Ovis aries: one gene and its partner. The protein of the gene in region 2 purifies or fractionates together with the protein of the main gene of each other region. This does not show direct contact. Links are inferred from orthologs where the notes say so. Each region holds a gene or a part of one and is shown on either strand. Other genes may lie near its edges.

Region 1 (4,232 bases), on a different chromosome or scaffold from region 2:
GGCAACAAATCTACTTTGCAGTCAAAAGCTGAGCATAGGAGCAGGCAACAAGGAACACAGTCAGCAGTGTGCATCTACCAAGCCAGGAACACTTGGGCAGGGTCCATTTCCTCAGGGGATCCTGCCCCCACAGGAGACACGTGAAGAACTGTCGGCTCAGCTTGTCTTTTTCTTAAGCAATGGTGTGGGTGGTGGGGTCCTGTTCTTTGACAGGTAGTACAATGCCCGTTTCTCACCAGTTTTGCGGTAAGCCCTCTACAGTCCTTTAGAGACACTACAGGAGCACATTGGCAGGCAGAGCAAACCCTAAGTGACAGGATTCGACCTCGCTTCACTGCTGGAATCTTTGCAGGATACATTGGATAGATATTATGACTGGAAGCAAAAACCATTTCAAGTGACTGGTACCAGTATCAAAACATTTAATAACCAAACAAATGAAACGTCCCCCATGAACATTTAAAAAGTAGTAAAGTGAGACAAAACATAACAGAAATGTAACCTGTAGAATCTAGGTGGTGGTTCTGTGACTATTTGGTGCACTAAATTTTTTCAGCTTTTCTGTATGCTCCCATTTTTGGAAATGGATGCATTCACATGTAAGGGTTTAGCTAAGTTCCAGAGCTGCAGCATGTACTCAGTAAAAGGTCATCAGTAAACACTACTCAAGAACAAACTATTAATTCATTATGTGCTCTGTTTCCTGGGGCTGTTGCCTTTAAGTATTTCCAGTGAGGTTTTGCGCAATTTGCTTGAGTTGTAGAAGCAAAGATCTCGGGATGTTAGCCTCAACTACTCCTATCTCACCTTCCTGTAAGTAACCTGGACACAGCTCACCAATCGGAATCCTGTTTCCATGTGCGCAGTGCTGCCAAAATGCTGGATAAATTTCTGACTCAAGAAAGAGTGCCCAGCTGTGGACAAACAAATAAGAGTGCACTGTTCTTTTCCAGGGCTATAAAGTCTTTTTAGACATTATGTCTTAAAATGAGAGGGCATACACACAAAAATAAGCCAAAATTAAAAAAGAAAAAAGGCACCACAGACACTCAGTAAGGTGCCTGTAACACTAAGCAACATTGTAGCGGGCTTGCTTGGACAAATAGTGAGTATAATTCAGTGCTTACGAGTCTGAAGTTCCCCTGCTTGGGGTCTGATTCAAAGCTTTGTTGTGTCTTTGTATCAATCCCTTAATCATTCCGAGCCTCAATTTCTCATCAGCATTAAGGAGAGACAGACAGTTCCTACACTTCATAGCTGTCAAGAATATAAACAAAAGTAACCGATAAAAGAGTCTTGGGGACCTAGTTAAGGCTCAACAGATGTTAGCTAATATTAGGAGAAAGGCTTTGGAGGCTTTTCTGAGGCAAACTCTTGGCTCTTAAGTCACACAGCCTCTGAATGATCAGCAGGGGTCCCTGGACTGCCCCCATTACGATCACCAAGAGTAGCACTGTCCAATAGAAAGAGAGCCAGCTACAAGAGTACTCTAAAATTTTCTTGGAGCAACGTTCCAAAAAAGCATTAGTTAACAGATGAAGTTAACTTTGAGTAATGTATTTATCTGACACACTACACCCCACACATCATCTTTTCACCAATCAGCATACAAAATCATTAATAAAATATCCATGCTTCCCCATGCTAAGCGTGTTAAACACATCAATTTGAACTAGGTACATTTCAAGTACTCAGTAGCCACGTGTGGCCAGAGGCTACCTTATTACACAGCTGACCTAGAATACATATTCCAGGGCCCCACCCCAGTCCTAAAGATCTGCTCTTTGTAGTTTGTGAAAACAAGCACCAGCGTTTATTCTTAAAACTCAATTAAGACCAGAGTAAAGGAAGGCTTTTCTGGGTGTGGCCAGAGGGCTAGAAAGCAAAGGTTGATTATGTTTACACAAGTGCAGGTAACAGGACCGTGGTTACCTCCCCCATCCTCTGGAAAGGTGCGCGTCCAACAGCCAAAAATAGGAGAGAACAATTAGTCATATCTCGCGTACATGGCGTTTCAGCTCACATCTTCGGAGCACCTTCTCCATTTACAAGTACATTTCAGGCACAATTCATGAGAGATTGGAAAAGGCCACGCCTCTGCTCCGTCGATTTAACCTTTCCGTATCCTCTCTTTTGGGGTTACCGTCAAACTGGGCTCCAAGACATTAGGGGCCGTATCCCCAAGGGCTAGCACCGGGAACGACACACAGGAACCCCGCAGACGTTCGTGGAGTCGATGTTTGAAATTAATGGCTTCAAAGGGAGGGTCAGTCGGTCACCCAGGGGCTCCCAAAACGCATCTCGTACCCACCGGCCCCGGCCCCGGCCCCGCACGCGACCTCAGCACCCCGCGTCCGCGTTCACTCACAACTCCCCAGTCCAGGAGCCGGGCCGCGGGCGCTTCCAGGGCAGGGCCCGGCGTTGCGGGCCTGGGTTTCCAGCCCGGTGAGAGGGCCCGGACGGCGGAGGCCGAGTTCCCGGCCGCTCCGAATCCCGCGGGCCTCACTGGTCCCGCTGCAGAGCCGAGGAAACGAGGGCGCCCTTCCGCCCGCCGCGGCCCCGACCACTTCCGGGCCGCAGCTTCGGCGCCTCCCACTCAGCCCGCCCCGGGCCACATTCTTTCTTCTCAAACCCGGAGCGACGCCACAGGCCCCACCGTCACCACCACGTGGCCAAGGAGCAGGCCGGCTCCACGATGCGCCCCGCCGAACATGGCGGGCGGGTCCCAAAGCTCGGATGGGGTCGGATTCCCGGTACTTACATCTTCCCGCCGCCGCGACCTCCTCCCGCTCTTCTCAGCCTCAGAGGGCGGCGCGGCTCTGGCGTCAGGATTAGGGAGCGGGAAGGAGCGGTCGTCCGGCGCGCAGCGATGACGTCGAGCCCCTCGGCCAATGGGCGCGAGCGAGAGTGTTAAAGGGCCAAGGCCTGTTTAGGAAGAGACGCGTCGGGGCGCTTACTCTGGAGGGTCGACCGGGGCTCCCCCGGGCGGGCTGCACGCCTCGTGGGGCCATCAAGCTGGCAGCTCTCTGGGGCTGCGAGGGCTACTTCGTGAGAGCAGTTTGCTGGCTGGCGCGGAGAGGGTTAAGGCGGCCGCGGGCCCGCCCCTCTCCGTGCGCATGCGCACCGGGCGGGCTGCGGGCCTGGTGGCGTCCCAGGTCGCTGGGCTCCCGACCCGGCTGCTACGTGGAGGGTCCCGGGCGGCCCGGCGGCGGGGTTGGAGAAAGGGTGCACAGGTGCTGCACGCTCTGGCGGCTTGCCGTGGGCACCCGTAGGGCGGTGGTGGCTTCGCGAGCAGGGCAGTTGCGGGGATGGGTTCGTGCAGTTACCGCTCATGGCGTGAGGGGTGATGCTGCAGGCGCAGATTCTGTGCCGGCGGAATTGTACCAGGAGGACAAGGCAGCGGGTAGTGCAGCCAGAACGAGCGGGCTGCAGAAGGCAGGGTGGAAGACAGTGTGCAGAAGGGAACGCGCCTCCGAGGCGCTGACCCTGCCGCTGAGGCCTGCAGTAGAAGGGCATGTCCGGCAGAAGGAACAAATGGTGCGAAGGCTCCTTGGAAGAAACCGGGGCTAGGAAGGTGGAGTCTAGCGTTTGGAGGAACAGAGAACCTGTGCAACATACGGCGCCAAGGCTTCATCCTGCACTGTCAGAGCCTTCTGGCAAAGGCAGGAAGCTGAGAGTTAGAGGCCCAGGACCAGGCAGGAGGCTGTCGGAGTAAAACCCGGCGCTGAGGGGGCCAGGGCTTGCGGATGTGTTTACCGCTGTGTCCCTCCCCTCTCCGAGCAGCGCCTGGCAGGCAGTCAACGTTTCGTGACTGTTAGTAGGGGGAGCGGAGAAGGCAATGGCACCCCACTCCAGTACTCTTGCCTGGAAAATCCCATGGACGGAGGAGCCTGGTGGGCCGCAGTCCATGGGGTCGCTAAGAGTCAGACACGACTGAGCGACTTCACTTTCACTTTTCTCTTTCATGCATTGGAGAAGGAAATGGCAACCCACTCCAGTGTTCTTGCCTGGAGAATCCCAGGGACGGGGGAGCCTGGTGGGCTGCCGTCTATGGGGCTGCACAGAATCGCACATGACTGAAGCGACTTAGCAGCAGCAGCAATGGGGGGAGAGAAGGTGCGCTCCCACTCTTGATGGGCATGTGAACAGGTAGGTCCCACAAGGAAGAGAAAGGAACAGATTCAAGGCCCTCGTGGGGGAAGGAACCAGTGTAGCTTGGAGATGGATCAAAT
Region 2 (4,509 bases):
ACTGCACTGTGTGGAAAGGGCACAGGCCCAGCCACACCCCAGAGCCTCAGCCTCCTTGATAGATCACACTGGACAACCCTGATTGTCCTGGACATCCCAGGCCCTCCACCTCTCTGCCTTCCGCCTGGAATGCCCTGACTCCTTGACCTCCCAGATGCCCCTGTTCCATCTGCTGTGGTCCCAGAGTACTTTAGCACCTTCCTCTGTCCCAACCCACCTCCTCATTAGACTGGGGGCTCCTTGAGGGCTGAGCCTATGGGCAGCCTCTGCAAGGCTCTGCTGAGTAGCTAAAGCAAAGGATCTCTTGGCTTGTCAAGGGGTTCTGACGAAGCCCGTGGGACAGGGTGACTTGGACTCACTGTCGGATGGTCTCCATCTGCTCTTTGACGGACATGCCCCCGATGCAGAGGGCGCAGCGCAGGAGTGGCGAGCTGTCTTCCTGCAGCAAGCGGCAGTAGTACTCCAGGATGCCGTGGGTTTGTCGGGCCAGCTCCCGCTGCAGGTACAGGGGCAGCGGCTGGCACCAGAAGGTGGCTCCCTCCCTCGTGTACCCTGCCCTCCAGGCCAGCCTCTCTTACCGAAGGGCAGATAATGAGTCCATAGGGCCCTTCACGCTTAGAGAAAGGTAACCTTTTCTCTTGTTCCAGGCAGAACATGATGACGGGCAAAGTGAACACCAGTGTCTTGCCTGAACCGGTAAAGGCTATGCCTATCATGTCGCGGCCAGAGAGACTGGTGACAGAGAAGAGAGGCCGGAGGGTCAGGCTCAGTGGGAAACAAAGACTCTGCTTCTCACCCAGTGGCTGCTCCTCCCCGGACTGTCAGCTTCACACTCACATGGTGGGAATTCCCTGGATCTGAATGGGTGTTGGGTGGTGGATGCCCTTCTTCTTCAGGCCTCTCAGGATGGCTACAGAAAACAGCCTGGCTTCATTTTTGTGTTTCACAGGATACGAGACACAGCCCCCTAACGCCTGTAAAACTGGCACTATGCCCCTCACGTTACAAATGATGAGACTCAGACAGACAGAAAGACAGACACACAAACTTGCCCAAGGCTTCTAGGCTAAGTGGAGGCAGGATTCACACCCAGTTCTGTTTAAGGCCATCATTACTTGCCCTCCAAAGCTCCCTAATGGCAAAGGTTACGAAGTATGAACAGCTCAATGACTGAAAAAGAAGCATAAAGACGAACTCTTCCTTCTCCTCTGCCTGGACCTGATGCAGCAGCTTCTGGATTTCGGTGGGGGCCCAGGGTGCAACCCCACAGATGTTTCACTATCAAAATGTGGTGTGTTTCATGATCACAATGCGGTACTGCAGACTTCCCTGGGGGTACAGTGGATAAAAATCTGCCTGCTGATGCAGGGGACGCGGGTTTAACCCCTGGTGTGGGAAGATTCCACATGCTGTGGAACTAAAGCCTGCGTGCCACAACTACTGAGCCTGCGTGCCACAAGCAGTGAAGCCTGCACGCCGCACCTTCTGAGCCCGCGTGCTGCAACTACTGAAGCTTGAGTGCCTAGCCTATGCTCCACAAGAAGCCTGTGCACCGCAACAGAGTAGCTCCTGCTAGCTCCAACTAGAGAAAGCCTGTGCGCAGGAACGAAAGACCCAGCACAGCCTGTATGCATATAATGTGCTGGTGCTTCCGGCTCCCAGGTACCTGCAGGAAATTTCATTTCCTTGAAGCTCTTAATGGGAGGTGGGATGCCATCGCCTTCCACCAAGATGTGGTACTTCTTCCGGACACGTTCATGCCGCTCTTCAGACATACTCAGGACATAACGGGGTGGTGTCCAACTGTGGGTGGGTGACAAGGGTCAAGACAGCCCCTGGGCACACCTGGCTTTGGGGTGTCTCTTCCAGTCTCGGCCACCTACCATCCCAAGTAAGAGGAATCAACTGCAGTCAAGAAAGACGTACCTAGTTTTGATTGGATCGTCGTATGTGATTCCCTTAGCCATCTCCTTCACTGACATCAAAGCTGAGGAAACAGATGTGGCTCAAGGCTGGCTCCTGCTTCCCAGAGGCCAGGTCCCTTGAAATGGAACATGCCTAGGGGTGAGGGAGGAGGCTCAGTTCACCTCTTCTCTGCCCTGGCTACAGCCATACCTCGACCTTCGGCCACACTCTCCAGGATCTTCTCCTCTTCCTTCAGCTGCTTCTCTTTGGCAGACTCCTTGCGGGCTGACAAAAGAAGCAGAAGGTGTCAGAGAGACACCAAAGCAGTGCGCCACACTGAGCCTCCGGCCTGCTGCCCAGCCCACCTTCAGCCTTCTCTTTGAGATGCTGGTGCTGATCCAAGAGACTGACGTTGGACTGAGGACCCAACGGGATGTCGTCCTCATCTCCTCGGGGCTCGCTGCCGCTGTCCTGCTGCTCCTCTTCCGCAGCTCCCTTGCGTCTTCGCTGCAGCAGCTTCTGGAGCTGAGGTTCCACCAGTGCCCCTCAGAGCCAAGCCCAACGCAAAGTGCGGCATCGGGCCCGGGGGCCTGCGTCAGGATTCTGGCCTTTGGGAGAGGGTCCTGTGCTCGGAGGCGCAGAGCTGCCCCACTCCTCGGATGAGATTGCCAGTTCCTCGTCTGCCTGGGGACCACGCTCCCGCGTACTGACACCTCACTCCGCGGACCCGGGGCCACCCCCCATCGCATCGCTAAAACCCTATCTCCTGCCCTCACTCTTCTCGCGACCCACGGCCCTCACCAGCATTTGCCGGCGTTGTCGCAACGGCACGTATGGCACGTAGTCCTCGTCGTCCTCATCCTCTGCCTCAGAGCGGCTTCCTGTGGCAGTCGCCTCGTCGGTACGAGCCCGCTGCAGACACAAACGAGTCAGACCCGGACCCCCGGCCTTTACCTTCGCTCTCCACCCGCGCAGACCCCAACCTCTCTCCCACCTTCCGCTCAGGTTCCGATTCCGCCATCCTTTGCTGCACGCATGCGCACCACAGTAAAACCCCGCCCCACCTATATGAGATCCAATCAGATGTAAGGAAGCGGACGTCGACACCTAGCAACGACCTCTGAGTGCCGGATCGCGCAGAAGGACAAATTTTCTCCTGAGCGTCGGTCGCGCGGTGCTGTGTCCCCGCCCACTGTAGGTGGCTACGCAGCTGTTGCCGGGGCTGAGGGCGAAAGCCTCAGGCAAGACATTGTGTGACTCTGCAGGATTTCGAGCACGCGCTGAAAGCTCAAACCGAGCCGGGTAGAAGCGTGGAAACCGCCGTTCCCGAAGAGGGAGGCTTGCCGGCTGCCCAGCCTCGCCCAGGGCGTGACGTCACTCGGCACGCCCCCCCGCTAGTGGACACTGCGCCCTCTCGTGGCCGGGGAGCTCAGAGACCAGGCTAGCTGGAATCCTGACCCGGACTCTATCCAGCCCCTATTAACCCGCACCGGCCAAGGCAGGTAGGGCAGGATGGGGCTTGCAGAATAAGCTGACTGTTGAGAATACTGCTGGTGTTATCTGTGTGAAACACCTATGTTCAGAGTGGCGAGATAAACAAAACGATGGTTGTGGTTTTAAACTGAGGGCCTGTATATGTACGCAAACGATTATTATTGTAAATGCCGTAATAGAGTAACTGGGGAACCAAAGACTTCGAGGAGACCTGGATCTGAAGTTAGAGGGAAGTGAGGAATCTCAGAGCTGCTGGGAGGGCAGGAGAGGGAGAGGCTTCCTGATACAGGGGCTAGCAGGAGTCAAGTTCTGGCCATGCCCAAGTTTCTCAGTGAACAAAGAGATGTGGCCTGTGTAGGGTAGGGTAGTTAAGAGTTAAGGCTGGAAAGGTAGACCCAGAGTGTGCAGGGCTGACTGTCAGGGTAATTTCAACTTTTAAAGAGGATAGGTTAGTGCTGTTCTTCTCTTCCTTTGTATGTTAAGAGTGTGGACTGGACATTGTGCGGTGTGAAAGTGTTAGCCGCTCAGTCATATCCACCTCATTTGCAATATTGCTGGCTGTACCCCTCCATGCTCTTCTGTCCGTGGAATTCTCCAGGCGTGAATACTGGAGTGGGTTGCCATTTTCTTTGGGGAACTTCCGGACCTAGGGACTGAACCCGGGTCTCCTGTATTACAGGCAGATTCTTTACCATATAAGCCACCAGGGAAGCCCAAAGAGATTAGGTGGAGAGATAGATAACTGGTCTTAAGAACTCTCCTAAGACACAAAAAGTACCACTTTTGGAATTAGCATAAAGGCAGGCAATTGGCAACCCATTCCAGTATTCTTGCCTGGAGAATTTCATGGACAGAGGAACCTGTCAGGCTAGTCCATGGAGTCGCAGAGTTGGACACCACTGAGCAACTTACACACACAAAGGGCAAACTGTAAAAAAGTGGCTTCTCAGCTGGAATGTGATGGACTAGGTGGTATTTGTAAGAAAGTGTTATTTCAAAGAGGGAAACAAGTGAGTAAAAGTTAGGAGCCCTGAGGGTGCCAGACCTCGCTGGAGACTGAGGTCATCAGGTGTGGCTGGAGTGTGCCAGAGGCAGGAGCCAGACTTGAAC

Evidence for each region.
Region 1: the proteins of DDX41 (region 2) and RNPS1 purify together in Homo sapiens (co-immunoprecipitation; 3 studies listed by BioGRID and IntAct, with this or other methods). This does not show direct contact. The link is inferred for Ovis aries from reciprocal best matches to the Homo sapiens genes DDX41 and RNPS1.

Annotation. Positions count from the first base shown.
Region 1 is NC_056077.1:2,304,617-2,308,848, forward strand, and holds the start of RNPS1 (RNA-binding protein with serine-rich domain 1), read right to left. Parts: upstream 2,822-4,232; 5' UTR 2,764-2,821; coding exon of another isoform or gene 2,762-2,763; exon of another isoform or gene 2,369-2,761; intron 1-2,368. UniProt on the Homo sapiens protein: Part of pre- and post-splicing multiprotein mRNP complexes. Auxiliary component of the splicing-dependent multiprotein exon junction complex (EJC) deposited at splice junction on mRNAs.
Region 2 is NC_056058.1:36,718,664-36,723,172, forward strand, and holds the start of DDX41 (probable ATP-dependent RNA helicase DDX41), read right to left. Parts: upstream 2,932-4,509; 5' UTR 2,927-2,931; coding exon 2,900-2,926; intron 2,818-2,899; coding exon 2,707-2,817; intron 2,431-2,706; coding exon 2,271-2,430; intron 2,191-2,270; coding exon 2,116-2,190; intron 1,988-2,115; coding exon 1,927-1,987; intron 1,804-1,926; coding exon 1,667-1,803; intron 911-1,666; coding exon 838-910; intron 733-837; coding exon 579-732; intron 497-578; coding exon 360-496; intron 1-359. UniProt on the Homo sapiens protein: Multifunctional protein that participates in many aspects of cellular RNA metabolism. Plays pivotal roles in innate immune sensing and hematopoietic homeostasis.